Ovis aries: one gene and its partner. The protein of the gene in region 2 interacts with the protein of the main gene of each other region in a biochemical or structural test. Links are inferred from orthologs where the notes say so. Each region holds a gene or a part of one and is shown on either strand. Other genes may lie near its edges.

Evidence for each region.
Region 1: the proteins of plasma kallikrein (region 2) and KNG1 form a complex in vitro, tested with the Homo sapiens proteins (4 studies listed by BioGRID). The link is inferred for Ovis aries from reciprocal best matches to the Homo sapiens genes KLKB1 and KNG1.

Annotation. Positions count from the first base shown.
Region 1 is NC_056054.1:201,276,243-201,288,251, forward strand, and holds the end of KNG1 (kininogen-1), read right to left. Parts: intron 6,764-12,009; coding exon 6,656-6,763; intron 6,539-6,655; coding exon 6,452-6,538; intron 5,076-6,451; coding exon 4,338-5,075; 3' UTR 3,116-4,337; coding exon of another isoform or gene 3,005-3,115; 3' UTR 2,887-3,004; downstream 1-2,886. UniProt on the Homo sapiens protein: Kininogens are inhibitors of thiol proteases.
Region 2 is NC_056079.1:15,461,582-15,473,590, reverse strand, and holds part of plasma kallikrein, read right to left. Parts: intron 8,193-12,009; coding exon 8,033-8,192; intron 6,959-8,032; coding exon 6,849-6,958; intron 6,713-6,848; coding exon 6,544-6,712; intron 6,450-6,543; coding exon 6,337-6,449; intron 6,171-6,336; coding exon 6,005-6,170; intron 3,328-6,004; coding exon 3,152-3,327; intron 2,254-3,151; coding exon 2,158-2,253; intron 415-2,157; coding exon 275-414; intron 1-274. UniProt on the Homo sapiens protein: Participates in the surface-dependent activation of blood coagulation. Activates, in a reciprocal reaction, coagulation factor XII/F12 after binding to negatively charged surfaces.

The DNA of each region.
Region 1 (12,009 bases), on a different chromosome or scaffold from region 2:
TTCTAGATCAGTAGTAGAAGTTAAGGTTATTTTCAGAGAATGATCTCTTCATGTTCTTTTTGATAAAAGGAGTCACGTCATTGCAGGTTCTCATAAGTTTTCTACAGGCTTAGTCCGTAAAACTAAGCTATCTAATGCTACCTCCCCATTTATATGACAGGTCCCACATGGATTATTTCAATCCTAGTTAGACTAGGAAACCGAGTCCAAAATGGCGGTGGCTAAAAGACAAGGAAGGGAAAAGCCCGTGAAAATAGAACAAAGGAAGGTCAAAGGAAGGTCCGAGGACCTGAGTGAGGACCTCAGGTAGAACAAACAGCACTCCTGCTAGCCCTATTTACATAGGGCAGGCCCAGGGGGAGGAAAAAACAAATAAAAAGAGGAGCCAAAGCACAGGCTTTCTCCCTCTCCCTCTCTCTCTCTCCCCCTCCCCACCTCCACCCCCACCGCAGGCTGGCGCGCTCTCCCACTCTCTCCTCTTTGTGTCTTTGAGTCGGCATGCCCTCAGCCTTGAGGATGGATTCTCTTGCTATTTTCTAAATAAAATAGAGCTGTAACACTGATTTGTCTAAGAGCTATAACACGGTCTGTCTAAGACCTGAGAGCTGTGACGTGCTGAGGGCTTTAATGTCCGTCGCTCCAAATCTTTATTGTGATGAGAAAGAACCGAGGGGCATATACTCGCCTGACAAATCTAAACTCCCACTTGGTAGCACAGGGAACTATACTCAATATCTCTTAATAATCTATAATGGAAAAGAATCTTAAAAAGAATACATCTACCTATCTATCTGTATATATACACGTAGGTATACACACATATGGGCTTCCCAGCTGGTGCTAGTGGTAAAGAACCTGCCTGCCAATGCAGATGTAAGAAATACAGGTTCAGTCCCTGAGTTGGGAAGATCCCCTGGAGGAGGGCATGGTAACCCACTCCAGTATTCTTGCCTGGAGAATTCCACGGACAAAGGAAACCGGTGGGCTACAATCATAGGGTCGCAAAGAGTCAGGCATGACTGGAGAGACTTTGCACTCGTATATACACATGTCAATCATTTGCTGTACAGTTGAAAGTAATGCAACATGTTAGGTCAACTATATTTCAATAAAACTTTTTTTTAAGAACCATCTCACTTGGGCTTCATTTTCTCTCTCCACTTTGGTCCTTCCACCTCTTCAACATCTTCCCATCACATTAGTCAAGTTCACTGCTCCCCAAAGATGCTGCTTGGATTAAATATCTGTTCCCTATGCTTTGTCTTGGTTTCCCAAAGGGATTGTAAGCTCTTCAAGGGAAAGCATTCATGTCTTTTGAAATGTATTTCTCTTCTTTTTGCTTTGAGGCTCCCATAGGCTGAACATGAAGTGAAGTGAAGTGAAGCGAAAGTCACTCAGTCACATCCAACTCTTTGCGACACTATGGACTTCTTCATGGAATTTTCCAGGCCAGAATACTAGAATGGGTAGCCTTTCCCTACTCCAGGGGATCTTCCCAACCCAGGGATCGAACCCAGGTCTCCCGCAGTGCAGACGGATGCTTTACTGGCTGAGCCACAAGGGAAGTAAAAGAATACTGGAGTGGGTAGCCTATTCCTTCTCCAGCAGCTCTTCCTGACCCAGGAATCGAACTGGGGTCTCCTGCATTACAGGCGGATTCTTTACCAACTGAGCTATCAGGGAAGCATATAGGCTGAATATGTGAACCCAACTCGACTAAAGATGAGTAGAAGCACCAATCACCACACACATGCTCCGAGCACTCAGGACACCTCAAACATGTGATGAGCTGCCAAGTATTTAAACTAAGACTGACAAAAAAGACACACCCACTTCTGCCATCTTGATGGCATCTTCATCTTACTCTGTAATTCTTTAAAAAGATTGCACAAGTTTCTTTTTGTTGACTGCCTCTTCAGTCTGGACAGTACAATGGAGGGAAATGTCTTAAATAAAAACTCAACATTTAAGATACAATAAAAATATTTCTTTTTCTCAGGACTGACTATGGTAAATAGCTAATGCCTGTGCTTGGCTCTATTCTAGTTTATCATGAGCAAGACTCAGAATAGCACCAGATATAATGAAATATTTCATAAGGGTTTTGGAGTGAAATCATAATCATCCCAGAGTCAGAAATTATCTTGATGTGTTTTTCGTAATGACAATATTGATAATACTGTAAAGCCCCGTGATAACACAGTGTGATAAAGTTCAAAGGTCTGAGTTTGAATACCAGCTCTGTCACATATTAACTCTGTGACTCTGGGAAGGGCTCTATGAGCTACAGCTTCCTCATTGTAGAGGAAAGGTGATCACGGAGACCTCAGAGTGGTGGTGAGGATTAAGTTACACCACGAAAGGAGGCTTCAATACGTGTTTGTTACAGAAAATCCTAAATCTCTTATCTTTTATTCTAATGGTTTTCTATTTCTTTTCTTTTACCCAGATCAGAAAGATAATTTTACATTTTCTTTCAACTTTTTTGAGACTCAGTATTTTTTGATAATGAGAAGTTGGTAGATATATTAACAAAAGACTTTTTTCTTTTTTGGTAATAATTTAGATCATAAAAAACTAATATAAGACAAAATCTCTCAGCATTGGGTTGGGAATCAGGAGGAGAAGGAAGAAAGAAAGGGAGAGAGTCCTTAGATCCATGGTGGAAACATGACCCACTACCCCTTGATTGAGCACCCATGACAAGGTCTCTGTGATAGGGAAGCCCCAGCTAAGGGATCCTGCCTCAGTGAACAAGAATGCTCCAGGGCTGCACTGTGAGCCCCTAGGGCAAAGCCCTAGTGCTGGCTCTCTGATCATCTTGACTTGGCTGCAGGTTGGTTGTGACTGAAAGGAGACCAGCGTGAATTAACCAGGAGGGGAACATAAGGATGGAACTTTATTTCACTCAGTCACAGAGGGATAAAATGACATTCTTCTCTATTTAAATTCTACCCCATCTTCTTGTCCTTCCACGCAGGGCTGCTGACAGAGGTTGTCGGGTCTATTGTGCCAACCGTGGAGATTCTGCCGGTAAATTGACCTCACCCTGAGGTGCTGGCTCTGCCCCTGCCTCTTGAGGTCGGCCCTTGTACTCGCAGGACCTTACGTGCCTCTGTAAGTATAGTAAAACTCTGTTAATCTGAGGTTATCGTTCAAAGGGAGGAAGGTGAAGCCACTAATTGACAAGATGAGACCTTTTCCTGAGATCACTGGTACTTTATTTGCAAGTACAGATAATATTTGGAATGAAATAAAAACTCAGTGGCTCAAATGCATCCAATAAATTGAAGAAACAGTGACGTGCATCCGCAGGTGAGTGTAGGTATCCAAAGCCCTATTTCCCTAGGCAAAAGCACAGCAGGGGTTGTGAAAGACATGCCTCCCTCACATTATCAGTAAATTAAAGATAATCATATTATTCTTTCCTGCAAAAGTCCATATACTTCAATGTTATAGCAAAAGAAAATGCAAGTATAAAGGCTAGAAAGAATTTCTCACAAAATCTCTGAACAAAATTTGCATCACATCTCATGATATTCCCTTATCAATTATTAAAAAAAGATTTCCTCAAGCAGGCCAGCCTTTGTATTACTTCTGCCTTCCATCCTTATCATTAAACTCAGAGCTATTGAACAGTAAGGGTTACTCACTCTAAAGCTGGCAACATACAAACAGAAAACTCCTATTTGAAAGCCCTATTGCAAAGCATAGTTAATGAGTAAACAGAAATTACTGACTTACAAGAAACACTCTCACCCAGAAAGAGAATTATCAGCATAGTTTTGTCACATGGGAGTAACTGAGATTACTAGCCCATTTTGGAAACAGAAAGTCAATTTATTTTCTCTGTCCTCCCTTTGGCCAATCTGTCTTTCTCTCTTGTTCCTCTTTGACCTCTGGAGGTTTTTATTATTTTTTTCCCTCCATTAAGAAGTTCAGCATTCAGTCTCTTAACTTCTCTTATTGCCACATATGGACCAGATGTTACAGTTTATTCAAATGTCAAGAATCTTTGTATGAAAATTGATGATGTACATTTTAAGGTACACATTCATTATCAGAAAAGCAACTGCAGTAGGCCACAGTATATTAGTTTGTCCATTTTCTGTGCTAGGTAAGAAAACTTGGGAGGAGAGCTCAGAAAGGAGTTAGAATTCTGCACAAAGTTTTATGTCATCCATAGAGATTGATGTTGTTCCCATGGGGAGTCTCACCATTTATTTCTCTCTAGGCTGTTCTGAATGTTCATGGGTTTTAGTGTATTATATGAGGATCTTTGGACAATGGGGACAGGGGTTGATGAGATGTTAAAGAAATAACCCTGGCTGCCTAAATTAAGAAAGAGCATCAATGAGATCAAAATCATGAGACTCTTCCATTTCCACAGTTGGATTCACTCCATTAACTGGCTTCCAGGGGCGACCAGGACATTTGGGGGAGGTTGTTTCTGGAAAATCCGAAATCAATTTAAATGCAAGGCTATTTGGCTCTATCTGGATGTCAGGGATCCAGTCATCATCACTCTCTGTGGGAGGTGGTAGTGTATTAGGCATCACAGTTGCAATGAGATCTGAGTCCTGAAAGCCAGGAAAGGTCACGGCTACACCTGGCTGGGCTGGGGAAGGGAGTGTTGTCTCCTCTGTCTTCTCTCGCATCTGTGCAGAGGATGTAGTGCTATCTTCATAAGAACTTGCCAAATAGTGTGTCCTCCAATCATACTGCTTTCCATGGTTTTTTCCTTTGTTTTTATGTTTTCCGTGGCCATGACCATGCTTATGTCCATGGCCAAGACCATGCTTATGTCCATGGCCAAGACCATGACCCCTATGGCGCCCATGACCTTGCTCATGCTCATGTTTATGGCCAGGGCCAAGGCCATGTAATTTTATTTGCTTTTCATGGTCCCAGCCATGCCCATGAGTGGGTCCTTGTTCTTTTCCTGAATCCTGCTCTTCATCTTGTACAGGTGACATGGTAGAGTGGGGTAGACTTACAGTTGTTTTTTCTTCAGGTTTCATCACTTGTACTGATCGGAAAGGTGAAAAACCCGGAGGCCTTTTCATGAGTAAGGTCTAAACAGGAAATATTAAAATGAATGCATTACTGTGAAAACCACACTATCAAAGAAGAAAGAAGGGATGGGGGCCTGACAATGTTATCTCAGTTTACGATGGGGAATGTCTTTGCCAGATTTTAAGTGCTATATACATTAATATTCCATAAAGGATGAAAATGAATAATTTTTTCCTCTTTTGATTGACTTAATAATTTAGAGATATTGATTCTTGTTCCTAATAATACTCTAAAATAGAGTTTTTAATCAGGAAAAACTGGATGGTTAACTACATAATCTTTAGGGTACTCTCTAAGCCTATGATTCTATAAGTCATGGCGCATTATTTATTAATTGATACTATTTCTATTAGCACATTACTGCTTTTTATCCAAAAAGATCTTAACTGGTTTTAAGAATGGAATATATAAGCAGCGTATATCCACAGTCACTCCGTTGAATTGAAACACAGGATATATATGTTCACAAGCTTGAAACACAGCCTTTGTATAATGTTTGTATTAAACTATATACATACCTACATATGGCAAAAACCTAAATGCAGAACAAAGGGAGCAGAGGCAACTTGTATTGAAGCTATGGATTTGTGGGTCATTTCTACCTACACACTTACTACCTGTGAGAATGTGGTGGCTGGAGGCAGTGTTTGGTGATTCAAAGAGCATGGTCTTTGAGGTCAAACAAGCCAGCGCCTAGTAGTTCTCAGTATGATGGTGAACAGAGTAGGCTCTGATTTTACCTAGATTTGTATCTGAGCACCACTAGCTTCATTTTCCTTGTATGTAAAATAGGAATGATAAAATCACCTGCCTCGTAGGGTTGTCAGGAGAAAAATATGTCTCAATGTCAAGTCCTCAGTACAGGGTCTAAGATGGAGGAAGCACTTGATGAAGTTATTATCCACTTTAGGACTTTAGCATCTTTGTAATTTTTAGTGTCTCAATCTTGAAAGTAGGGAAAGTACTACTTACCTCCCAGGGTTCTTCTAAGAAGTAAAAAAATGATGCGACCTAATGCTTCTCAAACTTGCATATGGGTATCACTTTCCTGGGGACTGTGTTAAAATATAGCTTTTGATTCAGGAAATGTAGAGTGGGGTGTGCGACCTATATTTTTCCCAAGCTCCTTGGATGTGCTTCCTTAAGAGAACCTGTGATCTCACGGGACACTGGCCTTGTCGGAGAAGTGATTAAGGGGACAGCTGCTCTCCCTTTCTAGCCATAAGAAGAGAGATCAGCACAGAAATGTGTGTTCTCCCCATTTAAAAAAGATAGTCCTCTCCAACTCATGTAAATAGGGGTTCATTTTCAACCTCCAAATATGATTTTCAGAATGAGCATAGCTAACCCAAACCAACTGCAATTAGAATCATACCCGTCCAGGTGATTGACAGTTGACAGTAGGGTAAACTTTTTCCTCCCAAGGCACCACATAAACATCAGCATCACAGTTTAGAATTAGCTATCCATGAAAATTGAAGGCAAAAGAGAAAACAGTGTTATTCATGGGATACATATATAAGCATAAAACATCATACAGATTTCCAGGGAATCAGTAAGACAGCTGCATTATACTCACACCATGTTTATTGATCTCACAACTCTTGGTCAGCTCTTCATTACTTCCCTTAGAACATGTGGTTTCCCTTGCTATGAACACAATAGAATACTTTTTTCCAGCTACCACCTGGAAAGTGAATTAGCACAAAATAGGAGCTTAATTAATGCTGTGTAATAAATCATACATTTTTATCATAAGGGCTTTTAGGGGAGAATCTTGATATTTTAATTATGTACTGAACGAAGGAGAGTTACCCTCAAAATGCACAAATATTTGATAACAAAACCTTGTATGCACATTAAAATATTTGGCAATTGGGCTTATTTCCTTTTTTAAATGGGAAAAGAAAACAATGCTATAATTTTAATTTTTCTATTTTCCTGAGTTTTATTGTTCAGCAACTGCAAGATTCACCAGAAATTCAAAGGCTCAAGTCATAATATGTAGAATCTAGGACAAGTAAGAAGAAAACTTAAATATTTCCTTTAAACACACCTTTTTGTTCTACCAAAGCTTGAATCAGAGAAAAGCCTCTTGATGAAAGTGAAAGAGGAGAGTGAAAAAGCTGGCTTAAAGCTCAACATTCAGAAAACTAAAATCATGGCATCTGGTCCCATCACTTCATGGCAAATAGATGGGGAAACAGTGGAAACAGTGTCAGACTTTATTTTGGGGGGCTCCAAAATCACTGCAGATGGTGATTGCAGCCATGAAATTTAAAGACGCTTACTCCTTGGAAGGAAAGTTATGACCAACCTAGATAGCATATTCAAAAGCAGAGACATTACTTTGACAACAAAGGTCCGTCTAGTCAAGGCTATGGTTTTCCCAGTAGTCATGTATGGATGTGAGAGTTGGACTGTGAAAAAAGCTGAGTGCTGAAGAATTGATGCTTTTGAACTGTGGTGTTGGAGAAGACACTTGAGAGTCCCTTGGACTGCAAGGAGATCCAACCAGTCCATTCTAAAGGAGATCAGTTCTGGGTGTTCTTTGGAAGGAATGATGCTAAAGCTGAAACTCCAATACTTTGGCCACCTCATGCGAAGAGTTGGCTCATTGGAAAAGACTCTGATGCTGGGAGGGATTGGGGGCAGGAGGAGAAGGGGACAACAGAGGATGAGATGGCTGGATGGCATCACCGACTCGATGGATGTGAGTTTGAGTGAACTCCAGGAGTTGGTGATGGACAGGGAGTCCTGGCGTGCTGCAATTCATGGGGTCGCAAAGAGTCAGACACGACTAAGCGACTGAACTGACCTGAACTGAACTGCTATAGAAATTATGTGGATTAAATTATGTGATTAGCAAAGTTCTTTGGATTTCTAGCTTGCTTCTCTGAGGGTTTTTTTTTTAATATTAAGAAACTATTTTAAGCTCTAGCAAGTTTTAATCATTATAAATACTGCCTTCTGTTAATATTTGTGGCCTAATTTTTTTCTTTTTGGTCTAGAATACGTGTACTGTATTTACTTAAAAAGTAAAAGTCATTGTGTGGTTTTTGCCAATACACTGACTTCAACAAAATTGCAAGCACAGTTTTTTTTAAAAAAGCTTACAGCCTTTATATACTTGAAAAATATACTTTATAAAATGTTTTAAAATTATATATATAAATTTAAAAGGTAGTTAACGTGGTTCAATTTTCAGGCTAAGTTATTCAGCATTTCATTCTAGGATTTAAATGTGTATATGCATAATATTATACAGTTATCAAAAAGAATATATTATACATACCTGTTTCCTGGAAGGTTGACCATTATTGAAAAAATTAAGTTATGGAGTGATAGTATAATTCCATAACATAAGTCTTCCCTTTTTCTTTGTGTTTTTTGAAAAGCATGGAGGAATTACAATGGGGGGAGGATGAGGAGAGCAGAGAACAGGAAGAGCTAAACTACTCCTCTACCTTTTCTGGCATCGTTTTCTAGGTAAGCACAGTAAAATTTATAAGACAAATTTGATAACTTGTAAAACTCCAGACGTGTATAAGCTGGCCAGGGAAGTCCAAAAAGTGTTTTAGAGTATATCCATTGGTGATCATGAATTTCGTTGCTTAGTTTGAGAGTATACTTTAATCCAGTTTTCTGACATTGTTGTTGTTATTTAGTCACTCAGTTGTGTCCAGCTCTATTGAAACCCCATGGATTGTAGCCCACCAGACTCCTCTGTCCATGGGATTTCCCAGGCAAGAATATTGGTGGGTTACCATTTCCTTCTCCAGGGGATCTTCCTGACCCAGGGATTGAACCCCAGTCTCCTGCACTGCAGGTGGACTCTTTACCTCTGAGCCACAGTTGATTAATATGATGTTGCCTAGGAAAGTTGACAATATATGACAAAACTCACAGCTGTTGGCTCAATTCTATTCAAGGTCTAGAGGGGAGGAATAAAGTAGACCTGGTCATGGCAACCCACTCCAGTGTTCTTTCCTGGAGGATCCCAGGGACGGGGGAGCCTTGTGGCTCCTGTCTATGGAGTCGCACAGAGTCGGACATGACTGAACTGACTTAGCAGCAGCAGTAATATCTTGTGTTCAAGAACCTCAAAATTGCATCTATATTGCTGTTCTTATCAGAAGTCTTCCCTGCTTAAGTCTATCCTGTCCAAGTTTTGTTTTTAAAGTATAGAATACTACTTAGTAATGTAAATTCCAATGCCTAAAACATTTAAACTAAATAAGCTAGAAAGGTATAAAAAACATTCATCAGTTCTTAGGATGATGAGGCCTTTCATAGATGAAAAGCAGAGGAAAGAACCTAAAGGAAGGGGGAAAATGTCAAAATCTAACTAGACAAAAATGAAAACTGACTCTCAAATGTCACAGTGAATAAGGTAAAAAGGTAAACTGGAAAAAATATGATGTAGGGTCAGTATTCTTATACACAGAAAGCCCAACACTAAGGAAATGAACCAAAGACATAACCAGCTCTTTTGGAGAAGTTAATAAGATAATTACTATAATGAGAAAATAGAGAAATTAAGGAAACAATTCCATTCACTATTGCAATGAAAAGAATAAAGTACTTAGGAATATATCTACCTAAAGAAACTAAAGACCTATATATAGAAAACTATAAAACACTGGTGAAAGAAATCAAAGAGGACACTAATAGATGGAGAAATATACCATGTTCATGGATCAGAAGAATCAATATAGTGAAAATGAATATACTACCCAAAGCAATGTATAGATTCAATGCAATCCTTATCAAGCTACCAATGGTATTTTTCACAGAGCTAGAACAAATAATTTCACAATTTGTATGGAAATACAAAAAACCTCGAATAGCCAAAGCAATCTTGAGAAAGAAGAATGGAACTGGAGGAATCAACCTGCCTGACTTCAGGCTCTACTACAAAGCCACAGTCATCAAGACAGTATGGTACTGGCACAAAGACAGAAATATAGATCAATGGAACAAAATAGAAAGCCCAGAGATAAGTCCACACACCTATGGACACCTTATCTTTGACAAAGGAGGCAAGAATATACAATGGAGTAAAGACAATCTCTTTAACAAGTGGTGCTGGGAAAACTGGTCAACCACTTGTAAAAGAATGAAACTAGAACACTTTCTAACACCATACACAAAAATAAACTCAAAATGGATTAAAGATCTAAACGTAAGGCCAGAAACTATAAAACCCCTAGTGGAGAACATAGGCAAAACACTCTCTGACATACATCACAGCAGGATCCTCTATGACCGACCTCCCAGGATACTGGAAATAAAAGCAAAAATAAACAAATGGGATGTAATTAAACTTAAAACCTTCTGCACAACAAAGGAAACTATAAGCAAGGTGAAAAGACAGCCTTCTGAGTGGGAGAAAATAATAGCAAATGAAGCAACTGACAAACAACTAATCTCAAAAATATATAAGCAACACTTACAGCTCAATTCCAGAAAAATAAAAGACCCAATCAAAAAATGGGCCAAAGAACTAAATAGACATTTCTCCAAAGAAGACATACAGATGGCTAACAAACACATGAAAAGATGCTCAACATCACTCATTACCAGAGAAATGCAAATCAAAACCACAATGAAGTACCATTTCATGCCAGTCAGAATGGCTGCAATCCAAAAGTCTACAAGCAATAAATGCTGAAGAGGGTGTGGAGAAAAGTGAACCCTTTTATACTGTTGGTGGGAATGCAAACTAGTACAGCCACATTGGAGAACAGTGTGGAGATTCCTTAAAAAAACTGGAAATAGAACTGCCTTATGACCCAGCAATCCCACTGCTGGGCACACACACAGAGGAAACCAGAATTGAAAGAGACACGTGTACCCCAATGTTCATTGCAGCACTGTTTATAATAGCCAGGACATGGAAGCAACCTAGATGTCCATCAGCAGACGAATGGATAAAGCTGTGGTACATATACACAATGGAGTATTACTTAGCTGTTAAAAAGAATACATTTGAATCAGTTCTAATGAGGTGGATGAAATTGGAGCCTATTATACAGAGTGAAGTAAGCCAGAAAGAAAAACACCAATACAGTATACTAACGCATACATATGCAATTTATAAAGATGGTAACGATAACCCTGTATGCGAGACAGCAAAAGAGACACAGATGTATAGAACAGTCTTTTGGACTCTGGGAGAGGGAGAGGGTGGGATGATTTGGGAGAATGGCATTGAAACATGTATAATATCATATATGAAATGAGTCGCCAGTCCAGGTTCAATGCATGATACTGGATGCTTGGGGCTGGTACACTGAGACGACCCAGAGGGATGGTATGGGGAGGGAGGAGGGAGGGGGGTTCAGGATGGGGAACACGTGTATACCTGTGGTGGATACATGTTGATGTATGGCAAAACCAATACAATATTGTAAAGTAATTAACCTCCAGTTAAAATAAATAAATTTATATTTAAAAAGATCATTACTCCTGAACAAGTTGACCTTCATTAATAACCAAGGATAAGCACATTTAAAAAACTATAGAATATCATGTTTAACCTTGCATCTTGTCAAGGATAAAAAACAGAGATGACACCTGGTCAGGTGCGGGAAACATGGAATCTCAGTCACTGCTGGTAGTATTTGAATAGGTCAAGTCAAGACCATCAGCCAGTGTCTTACATCCACATGGTGTGAATGAAAATTGACATAATTGCAAATCATTTGATGATCTGTCAATTTGTATCATAAATCTTAAACATCTACATATTCCTTGACCTTTCTAGGACTTTTTGTCAAAGGAAAATTCCTGAATGTGCACCCATAGATCCTTGAAGTGTATTTATCTGAGCAGAGGCAGGGAAGAACATTGACAGCAGCCATGGGGATAGGGCAAAATGAACGGTATATGACAGAAATCACAACCATTCACATGAGGAAACAAAGGATT
Region 2 (12,009 bases):
AAGGTGAGATGAACTTAATGTGCTTGTATTTTAGCACAATGATTTGTCTGCACAATTTTCTTCCCTTAAAGATGGCATACTCCTGCTGTGAGATAGATAATATATAAAAACTATAGGCATATATTCGATTTTTTAAAGATTTTACATGTAATTATCAGGTTATTTGGTTCCAAGTCATTTAGAAAGCTATAGAGAACTACTCTTGGAAAAACATATTTTGAAATGATTTTTCTCAAGTGGCCTATTGTGTGTTTTTCATACTCTAACGCATTACCTTGCAGGCATCTTTTCCTCCTTCTTTATAGCCAGCACAGATCATCTGTTTGGTTATTTTATAATCTCTGTAACTTTTCTGGCATTCTTCATTTGATATCAAAGGAATATTTGCCTTTTGTAGGGTATTTTGGATTTTACCTGAGAGGCAACATCAGAAGGAGGCAATAAGATAAATATAGAAGTAAGACTACAGTCTTAAATGAGAATGCTGAAGTTTCCATGAAGGTCATTTCTTCACATAATAATTTTTGTATGTCTGTGTCTGTAATAGGGGCTTCCTAGGTAGTACGAGTGGTGAAGAACCTTCCAATGTAGCAGACCTAAGAGATGCAGGTTTGATCCCTGGGTCGGGAAGATCCCCTGGAGGAGGACATGGTAACCCACTCCAGAATTCTTGCCTGGAGAACCTCATGGATGAGGAGCATGACGGGCTACAGTCCATAGTGTCCCAAAGAGTCAGACTCTACTGAAGTAACTTAGCACATATGCATCTATAGTAGATGATGGATGCTAACCTAATTTATAATAGTGATCATTTCACAACATATAAAAGTCAAAACATCATTCTGTGCAGCATAGACTTATGCAGTCATGTATGTCAATTATATCTCAGTAAAACTGGAAAAAGTATACATACGTGTGCTTAGTCGCTCAGTCGAGGCCTACTCTTTGTGACCCCATGGACTGTAGCCCGCCAGGCTCCTCTGTCCGTGGGACTCTCCAGGCAAGAATTCTGGAGTAGGTTGCCACATCCTCCTCCAGGGGATCTTGCCAACCCTAGGGGATCCAACTCTAGTCTCTTACATCTCCTGCCTTAGCAGACAGGTTCTTTTCCCCTAACACCACCTGGGAAGCCCCTCAACATGTATAGTAGGTCCTTATTGGTTATCTACATATACACACTGCTATACATAAAATGGATAACCAATAAGGCCCTACTGTATAGTATGGGCAATGCTACTCAATACTCTGCAATGAGCTGTATGGGCAAAGAATCTAAGAGTGGATATATGTATAACTGATTCATGTTGCTATGCAACAGCGAGTCACACAACATTGTAAATCAACTATACTGCAATTTAAAAAGGTTTTTAAAAATCTATAGTTCTCAATTTGGCAGGAATGAACTATACAGTTTATAATAAAGTTGATTTACATTGATTGTTAAGAAATAAGGGCTTCCCTGGTGGCTCAGATGGTAAAAAGTCCACCTGCAGTGCAGGAGACCCAGGTGTGATCCCTGGGTCAGGAAGATCCCCCAGAGGAGAACATGGCAATCAACTCTAGTACTCTTGCCTGGAGAATCCCATGGACAGAGAGGAGCCTGGCAGGCTACAGTCCAAGGGTTCTCAAAGAGTCTGACAGGACTGAGCTATTAACACTGTCATTTTCAAAGTATTCTGATAAGTTGCAGTGTCATTGGTTTTCTTTGTAATCCTATGTGTTTTATTTATGGGTATAAAAGCATTAGAGAAGAGGTTCACAGGCTTTACCAGGTTGCAGGAAGGATGTGTTTTAAAAAAATATTTAAAAGCCTTCCAGAAAGAGAGATGACATGTCTGCCTATACTCCTGGTTATTAATCCAAGGGATAACAGTGGCCTTGGGAGATGGGAACTCTATTAATTCTGAGGACAGGATGGGCTTGGGGAAGTTGTTTGTCCTGCATGGGACCAATCCTTTAGAAGAAGTCAAACAAAGACTCTTAAGAGATTACCCTAGGAATTTTTCCAGGACCAAGCAAAACTGTCTTCTCAAGAATTACTGAATACATATGTGGGAATGAATAGTTATGGAAAAAATCACGAGTCTGGATATAACTTTAGAGGCCAATGAAACAAATCCACTCCTGTGTTTTAACATATAAAATGCCACGTGGTACCTTTTTCCTCTGTGAAGCCCCATCCAGTTATCCAACAGTCAGTGTAAACTGGTTTTGTATCATCTTTGGAAGGGAGGCATATTGCTTTTTGCAAATCTGAAAGGTAATTTTTACATTAGAGTTTGGCTAGATTTAGTTATGAACATTGACTTTAAAAATACATACTCTCCCCGCCCCTATATTCTCTTTCTCTAGAGTAGCACCAAGTAGAATACACCTTTTACTTTCCACTGAGTTTCCAAGGTCAGGGACTCAAGAAAATATCTCAGCAATCACAGTCATTTTGGGTGTTAAATTTTAAAATTCCGAACCCAAATTTACTGTCAAGAGCCTTTACAAGTTCTTATGTATGATTCCCTCAATAGTAATAGCAGAGGGGTCTACACTGTTTTAAGCATGATTTTTAGGCACTTTAACTTATTAACTGATTTTAATAACAATCCTATTAGGGGGTAACTGGAGTCAAGGACATCCTGCCCTGAGATCACAGAATCTTTAGCAGACCCAGCAGGCATCCAGCAACTGCGGAGCTTTTTATATGTCCAAACGCACCCCGTCCAACCACAAAGCTATTGTCTCCCAGAATTGCCTTGTCCAACAGTCTCTTCCCTACTCAGGTTTTACCTGGAAATTAATATTTGAATATGCTTGCCCCTCAGATACTCCCAATATGCCTAGGCCCAAGGCAATGCTAATTCTGCTACTCTTGTCAAAGGAAGTCATGCTCCCTTCCATGTCTGTTATTATTTCAATAGTATAATATGCAGCTGTATTCCTTCCTGAAAGAACTAAGTAACACATCTTGGCCCTTAAGTAGAAGACATTTTATGTCAAGTTTCAAATTATTTTTCCTGGCAATACTCATCTTTCCCGCAACTTTACTAACCAGAAAATAAAGACAGTCTCCTTAGATTCCGACCCCTCCTTGAAACTGATCTGAAAATTTAAACCAACACAATTCAGCAATACATGTCTCCTTAAATATGCTACGTACCAGTAAAATTCAAAGGAGCCTCAAGTTTTATTAAGGCAATGTCATGACTGCCTTCTGAGGTTTTATAATTTGGGTGGACAATAATCTCTTTGATTTGTGAGAAAGATGTCTCTGTTGTTATCTCTGACAGATTTAAAATGCCACCATAAATGCGCCAAATATTTGACAAGAGAAGCCTAGGAGGGAAAAATAAGAACTGATTTGAAACCAGAAAGACTGGCCTTTCATATTGCTCTTTTCTCCTTTCTCTTTACCTTTCAAAAAAGAACTGGGAAGAAAATACTACATATAACATATGTTTCAGTTCAGTCAGTTCAGTCGCTCAGTCATGTCCAACCATTTGCAACTCCATGAATAGGAGCACGCCAGACCTCCCTGTCCATCACCATCTCCCGGAGTTTACTCAAACTCACATCCATCGGGTTGGTGATGCCATCCAGCCATCTCATCCTCTGTCGTCCCCTTCTCCTCCTGCCACCAATCCCTCCCAGCATCAGAGTCTTTTCCAATGAGTCAACTCTTCTCATGAGGTGGCCAAAGTACTGGAGTTTCAGCTTCAGCATCATTCCTTCCAAAGAACACCCAAGGCTGATCTCCTCTAGAATGGATTGGTTGGATCTCCTTGCAGTCCAAGGGACTCTCAAGAGTCTTCTCCAACACCACAGTTCAAAAACATCAATTCTTCAGCACTCAGCCGTCTTCACAGTCCAACCCTCTCATCCATACATGACCACTGGAAAACCATAGCCTTGACTAGACGGACCTTTGTTGGCAGAGTAATGTCTCTGCTTTTCAAAATGCTGTCTATGTTAGTCATAACTTTTCTTCCAAGGAGTAAGCGTCTTTTAATTTCATGACTGCAGTCACCATCTGCAGTGATTTTGGAGCCCCCCAAAATAAAGTCTGACACTGTTTCCACTGTTTCCCCATCTATTTCCCATGAAGTGATGGGACCAGATGCCACAATCTTCATTTTCTGGATGTTGAGCTTTAAGCCAACTTTTTCACTCTCTTCTTTCACTTTCATCAAGAAGCTTTTTAGTTCTTCTTCACTTTCTGCCGTAAGGGTGGTATCATCTGCATATCTGAGGTTATTGATATTTCTCCTGGCAATCTTGATTCCAGCTTGTGCTTCCTCCAGCCCATTGTTTCTCATGATATACTCTGCATATAAGTTAAATAAGCAGGGTGACAATATACAGCCTTGACGTACTCCTTTTTCTATTTGGAACCAGTCTGTTGTTCCATGTCCAGTTCATATGTTTACATACCTAATTTCTCCTTGCAATTTAGCACCAACAGCAGCAGTGCTGAACTCTGAAGATTTAGTTAAAAATATTGGGAAGTGTATAATTATGTCATGTTTTCTGTAAGTGAATATAGAAGAATGTTGCTGTCTCTTTCTGAGATAAACTGTTTGGGAGATATCTCACAGTCTATCATGGAAAATCATTCACCAAGTTGAAAGCAATCACTTCCATGAAATTCAGAACTGGCAAGAAAGAATGACTGTATACAAGTCTCTCTGTAACCAGATAGGATAGTGGGTCCCCAGAGAAAGAGATCCAGTCATGGTTTTCTTGATATAAAAGAAACCATTTTTAGCTTAAGCCATTTTGTGATCTAAGCCTGGCCACAATGCTAGTCCTTGAATGTACTCAGTCGCTTCAATCGTGTTGGACTTTTTGCAACCCCATGGACTATAGCCCGCCAGTCCATAGTGTTTTCCTGGCAAGAATACTGGAGTGGGTTGCCATGACCTCCTCCAGGGGATTCTCCCCAACCAGGGATCAAACCTACGTCTTTTGCATTGCAGGCAGATTCTTTATGGCTAAACCACAGGAAAGTCCTGTCCTTGAATACGTCTCAGTAATTAATGATCTTAAAGGGAATAAAAGAATGCAGAGACAAAGGACTATTACACGTTAGAGAAGTAACAATAGCAAAGATTATGGATCAGCTGTAAAGACTCCTAGGTATCTTTCAATGGCAAAGATTAGCCAGAAGCACTCAACCACTGGATCAACTGGAACCTAAGATATGGTGATGTTGACTTTTTTTGACCCTCATGACTTCAATCAACCAAGGCCTGAACTCAGGCCAAGGCCCTTCAATAATATGCGTGTACCCTTAGCTTAAAACTTCTCCAGTTCTGTTGTTTGGGGATACAATTTCTTTGGGAAAGATCCCCAGTGTTCTCCTTACTCACTGCAATAATAAATCCTTCCTTCTCCCAGTTTTTGGCTTGGTTGTGTCTTTTGACATCCAACCAAGAGGAAAACCCAGTTTTTACGTAATGCCTCTAATAGGGGAAATGAGAGGAACCTCAGCACTATTTAAATTATATGTATATTTTGGGAATGTGTGAAAATTTAAATTAACTCTTTGAATATGGATATATGCAAAATAAGTCTAAAATTACTATGTAGAGCAAAGTTATAGGATAAATAAGTTCTGGGGATATAACATACAGCATGGTGACTACAGTTAACAGTGGCGTGCATGGGCGCTCAGTCATGTCCAACTCTGCGACCCCATGGAGCCCACCAGGCTCCTCTGTCCATGGAATTTTCCAGCCACAAATACTGGAACAGGTTGCCATTTCCTCCTCCAAGGAGGCTTTCCAACCCAGGGATCGAACCTTCCCTGGAGGCAGGCGGATTCTTTATCCCTGAGTTACCTGGGAAAGTTGCTGAGACAGAAAATCTCCAAAGTTTTGACCACCAAAAGCTATTGTAACTTTGTAGAGGGATGGATATTAATAAACTGACACAATGATGTAGAAATTGATTATAGAGTCTTCAAAACAAAGAGGCTAGATACAACTCCAGATAAGATGCAGCCAAACCTTACCCATCGAAGCAATGGGCAGCAGTTAAGACCCACTGTCGTCCAATGATTGACCCTCCGCACAGGTGGCTCTGAGCTCTCAGCTTCACTTGCAGGCTGACCTGCCAGGGCCACTCTCCCCAAGAAGCATCTGTTCCTCCAACAATGCGTCCCCTTTTTGTGGTACAGACTAAAAAGAGAGCATTGAAGTTAATGGTTGGGATCAGAGGGTGAATCACAGTCCCCTTCAGTTAAGGAAAACAAGACACATAGTTCCATTATAGAAGATTTAAAAAGGTATCTAAACAACTCAGACATCCCTCTACAGTTTTATGAAAAAAGTGAGATTTACTCACCACGGTTGTCCCCACGTTTACACAACCTCAAAGAATAACCAGAGCTTGCTCGCGTCCCATAAGTAATGTTAGTTGGTGAGCCATCCAAAGACAAGCGTAAGGAACACTTACACCTAGACAAGACGATCAGCATGAGAGTAAACCTCAGAGGGTGAAAGCCCAGGAAATTATCTGCCAACTGTTTTTGAAAAATAAGCATTCACTAACTTCTCTCCTCTACAGTCTTCTGGGAATAAAGAATAAGTAAAAAACTGACAGCGAATCATCTTTGTACAGGTCTCTTGGCAATCATCCACTCCTTTAACGAAGGTCGCATGCAGCTCTTCTCCTTCAAAAGCAACTTGCGGGTAAATTTTGGAGTGGCAGGGCTCTGTGCCTAGGACAAATGTAAAAAAGATAGAAAATGCAAATGATAAGCCACACATACACAAGTTTCTGGAACACTGAGGCTTGTTAGAAGATCATAGAATGGATCACATTTTGTGTAATATTTTTTTATCAAATCGCATTACCAGGCAGAGTTTGTTTGCAGGTTAGAAGGCTGTATCCAGAGATGGCATTTTCCTGAGGAGTAGGGGAACTCGGGCTCCCACTTTGGGAAGTCTTGAGGAAACAAACGTTTCTATGGTCAAAAAAAAAAAAAAAAAGGGCAAGAGAAAGAAAGAAAACCCCATTAAAGGCAAATACAAGAACACCTCATATCAAACCCCGCCCCCTGCAAATTTTATTCTTCTGAGAAATTCCCTCCAAAGAACATCAGACTACAGGACTCTAGTGAATTACAGAGATTAAATGTAAATCAAGCCACATCTCCCTCTGAAGAAAACTTACAGGCACAGATAGCCCGAAAAGAGGAGAAAGGTAAAGTTCTACCTTCTAATTTAAAAAAAAAAGAAGAAAGAACAGATTCTGGGGATTTATGGTGCTGATGCTATCATAACCTGATACCCTTCTCTTAGCTCCATCTCGTGTGTAAAGAAAAGGACAGGTTATCTATGGGTCAAGAGATGGAACCGGAACCTTCATCAGGATAAACAGGGCTCTAGTTTCTGAAACACTGGGGTCAGAACAAAGGAGCTTAAAGGATATGCTCCGAGTGAGTGGTTTACTTCAAGCTAATACAAAACATTAAGATTAGTAGGAAAGGTACCCATGGCTATTGTTTCATTGATTGGATGGTCTGTTTAAGTAAGAGAAGATGGGTAGGAAAGTCTGCTAATCTCTTAACTAATCCGCACCTGGCAGAAGAGCCTCTATTTAAACTATGAGTTCAAGTGTTTTTTGTTTTGTTTTGTTTTGTTTTTAATTAAAAAAATTTATTTTATATTGGAGTATAGCTAATTAAAAATCTTGTGATAGATTCAGGTGGACAACAAAGGGACTCAGCCATACATATACATATATGCTTCTTCTCCGAACTCCCCTCCCAACCAGGCTGCCATATAGCGTTGAGCAGAGTTCCCGGTGCTATACAGTAGGTCCTTGTTGGTTATCCACTTTAAATATAGCAGTGTGTACATGTCCACCCCAAAGTCCCAAACTATCCCTCTCCCCCGCCACTTTCCCCTCTGGTAACCATAAGTTCATTCTATGAGTTCAAGTGTTTTGAGGGAAATGAACAAAACTTGGGAAAAACTCAAAGTATAAAATGAAAATGATGCCAAAACAGTAGCAAACGTGACCCACGCCTACTGACCTCTGTGAGTCTGTCTTCCACGCATTTGTATAGAATGTGAAGAAAAGGCAGCTGGGGTGATAGGTGCAGATGGTTCGACACACGAAAGCATCTGGTGCGATAACTCTGGCAACATCCACATCTGAAAACGCACGATGTTGGAAAATGTCCACGCGGCAGCCTGTGAACCCACAGGGGAAGACGTACATGTCACGATGCTACACGTGCTTGTACTTCGTCATCATAACTAAGGAAACTATGACTGTTGTTTGTACACAGAACTACACATCCTTAGCGAAAAAAATGTCTGTTGCAACATCCCCAAGCTTGTTGTTTGCCATTTGGGAGAAGAAAAAATTGGTCTCAATCTGATAAAAGACAGACACCTATGTCAGAGAAATAAAATGTCTTAACCTGTGCTCTATCCTACTTGGTCCGAAATACCTAAGCTACTCAGCTTTTGTTTATATTTTCTTTATATTACCCTGACCCTGAAATTCAGGCCTTAGGCACATGAGCTTTTGTGTTATGTTTTCCTGACTATGTTAATAGAAACATCATATTTAAATAAAGACATCAACAAAAACCTGAATTTCTAACAAAAATGCCGTGTACCCATTAGAAGAGGAAATCTACTTTCATTCTCCATAACATAATTATATCTCAATTATACTTTTACTTATGTTCTTATTATTTACTCAATTTGATAACGCATAAAGTATTTCATTTCCTGGGTCAGGAAAATCCACTGGAGAAGGGATAGGCTACCCACTCCAGTATTCTTGGGTTTCCCTTGGTGGCTCAGCTGGTAAAGAATCTGCCTGCAATGTGGGAGACCTGGGTTTGAACCCTGGGTTGGGAAGATCCCCTGGAGAAGGGAAAGGCTACTCACTCTGGTATTCTGGCCTAGAGAATTCCATGGACTGTATAGTCCACGAGGCTGCAAAGAGTCAGACATGACTGAGCAACTATCACTTTCACTTTAAAAGTCTATTAGGGCCTCTCAGGTGGTTAAGCAGTAAAGAATCTGCCTGCAATGCAGGAGACACAGCAGGAGCCACAGGTTTGATCCCTGAGTCAGGAAGATCCCCTGGAGGAGGAAATGGCAACCCACTCCAGTAGTCTTGCCTGGGAAATCACATGGACAGAGGAGCCTGGCAGGCTACAGTCCATGGGGTCACAGAGTTGGACATTTGCAAGGAAAGTTATACCAAACCTAGACAGCCTATTAAAAAGCAAAGACACCAGTTTGCCAGCAAAGGTCTGTATAGTCAAAGCTATGGTTTTTCCATTAGTCATGTACGGATGTGAGAGGTGGGCCAAAAAGAAGGCTGACTGCTGAAAAATTGATGCTTTTGAACTGTGGTGCTGGAGCAGACTCTTGGGAGTCCCTCTGATTGCAAGGAGATTAAAGGAAATCAACCCTGAATATTCATTGGAAGGACTGATGCTGAAACTGAAACTCCAATACTTTGGCCACTTGATACAAAGAGCTGACTCATTGGAAAAGGCTCTGATGCTAGGAAAGTTTGAAAGCAAAAGGAGAAGAGGGTGGTAGAGAATGAGATGATTGTATAGCATCATCGACTCAATGGACATGAATTTGAGCAAACTCCAAGAGATAGTGAAAGACAAGGAAACCTGGTGTGCTGCAGTCCATGGAATTGCAAAGAACTGGACATGATTTATCCACTGAAAAACAAAAACAAATTCTATTAAAATTATGTAAGCTTAAAGAATAATGGTAGCAATTATGAGAAAGACAAAAAGAATCCAAATTTAAATGAACATAGTTGGATCAAGAGAGTGTGCCTGTCACACATAATATCTTCAGATGGGAAGTTTAGGAAATTAGACCTCAACTAATTAAATCTTTTTTTAAAAAAATCAGACTTTAAGCTGGAAGAGAATTTATGGGATTCCATGTCTACCTACAACTGCATCCTGTCAAGTAGTTCAACCTTTATTTCAGATGTTTATAATGACAAGGAGCTGACTACCTCATGGCAAGTTTCATTTCTGGACCACTCTACAAGTCAGAATTTTTTTCTTATTTTCATCATAGTTGTATCTATTTTATGAAACCACACAGATTAGTCTAATCCTTTTCCCAATGACCGCTCTTCAAAAACAAAAATTTAAAACAGTCATCCTGACTTTTTAGGGTTAAATGTCCAATTTGTTTCTTTAATGGTATCTTATTTGCCTATGTTTCTAGGTATCTCAGGATCTTGGTTACTCTCTTTTGACGTGTCTGTTGCTCCAAACAAAATACGGAACGCATTGCTGAATATAAAGTGCAGTCACAGTCTGACCTGTCAAGATGACAAAAGAACAGGGGCTAACTATGTTCCAAAGACCATGCTGTTTTTTAAAGCTAGTTTCGTTTTCATTTGTTTTGTTTGTCAAAAGCACTGCAAGATGTCAGTAGGAATGACAGAGTAAAGACCTTCCGAAACCCCTTCCTCCATTAAAAACAAAACAAAAAAAGAAACAAGCACTGGCCAGAATGTCAAAATCAATGTCGTTTCAGAACTCTAGAAGTGAACCAAAGGCTGATAACAGTCCAGGGAGTTTTTATCCAAGAGCAACAGCCAAATCTCAGCAAGAGCCCTGAGTTCTGTGAGGTTTTTAACTTGCCCTCTCATCCCCTCTCCACAGCTCCATGGAAGCCTTGAAAATACCCACAATTGTGGGGAAAACCAGCAGGCTAACAGGCCTCAGGAGGGGGCAGAACAGAGTTGGAGCTACTCCCAAGCCCTGTCCCCAGATAACTGTCATTATTTGACTGGAGGTTCTCAGGAAAACCCCACTCCCAAGGACTGAGTTTCTTTGGCCTGATTCAGAACTTCCTCAGTGTCAACAGCCTTTTCCTTGAAAGTATTTGTCAAAAAAAAAAAAAAAAAAAGATTGTGACTATTATACAACATTGTAGCTGCTTAAGTCAGTAGTAATAATAGGGGCATACCACAAGCCAATGAGAATCTTAGAAGGAAAACCAAGGAGAGTTTGAAAATCTCTGAGATATTCCTAGGGATCTGGAAAGCCATACACTTGACTATGTGCACGACAGAGGCTCTGCACATTTCCCGTGCTGGGAAAGCCCCGGGCCCTCACTGAGGACTGACTTTGACCTCTGGGAGCTCCATGTCAGCACAAAGTGGAGGCCAGGGCAAAGTTGTAAAGAGCAGGGCAGGGCAGTGAAACACATGCCCTAAGTCTCACAAAAAGCCCCTTGTCCAAGGCTGGCAAACTCACTACTTGTAGGCACCCAAGGAAACGTCTGTCCTGTCATTAGAAAACTGTAGGGGAAGCTGAGCACAGACATCCGTGGTCATGCCACAAAAGAGACTAACCACCGTGTGCAGTTAGCTCAGGAAAGTCCCCAAACAAACAGCAACAGCATCACAAAACAGTAACAACAACAATAAACTCTGAGGAAGGAAGGGATTTGATGTCCAGAGTTTGTCACATGCTTGTACTTAAAAAGTCTAATTTTTTTTTTTTTTTTTTTACAAAACAATCATGAGACATGTCAAGAAACAAGGAAATATGGCCCATACACAGAAGTAGAGGTCAATATAAACCACCACTAAGGAAGCAAGAACATTGGGTTTACTATACCAAGACTTTACATCAGCTATTTTAAATATGTTCAAAGAACTAAAGGAAACCATGTCCAAAGAACTGGAGAGGGACCTTCCCTGTTGGTCCAATGGTTAAGATTTCGCCTTCCAATGCAGAGGATGTGGGTTTGATTCCTGGTAGGTGAGCTAAGCGGAGAAGGCAATGGCAACCCACTCCAGTACTCTTGACTGGCAAATCCCATGGACGGAGGAGCCTGGTGGGCTGCACTCCATGGCGTCGCTAAGAGTCGGACATGACTGAGTGACTTCTCTTTCACTTTTCACTTTCATGCATTGGAGGAGGAAATGGCAATCCACTCCAGTGTTCTTGCCTGGAGAATCCCAGGGATGGGGGAGCCTGGTGGGCTGCCA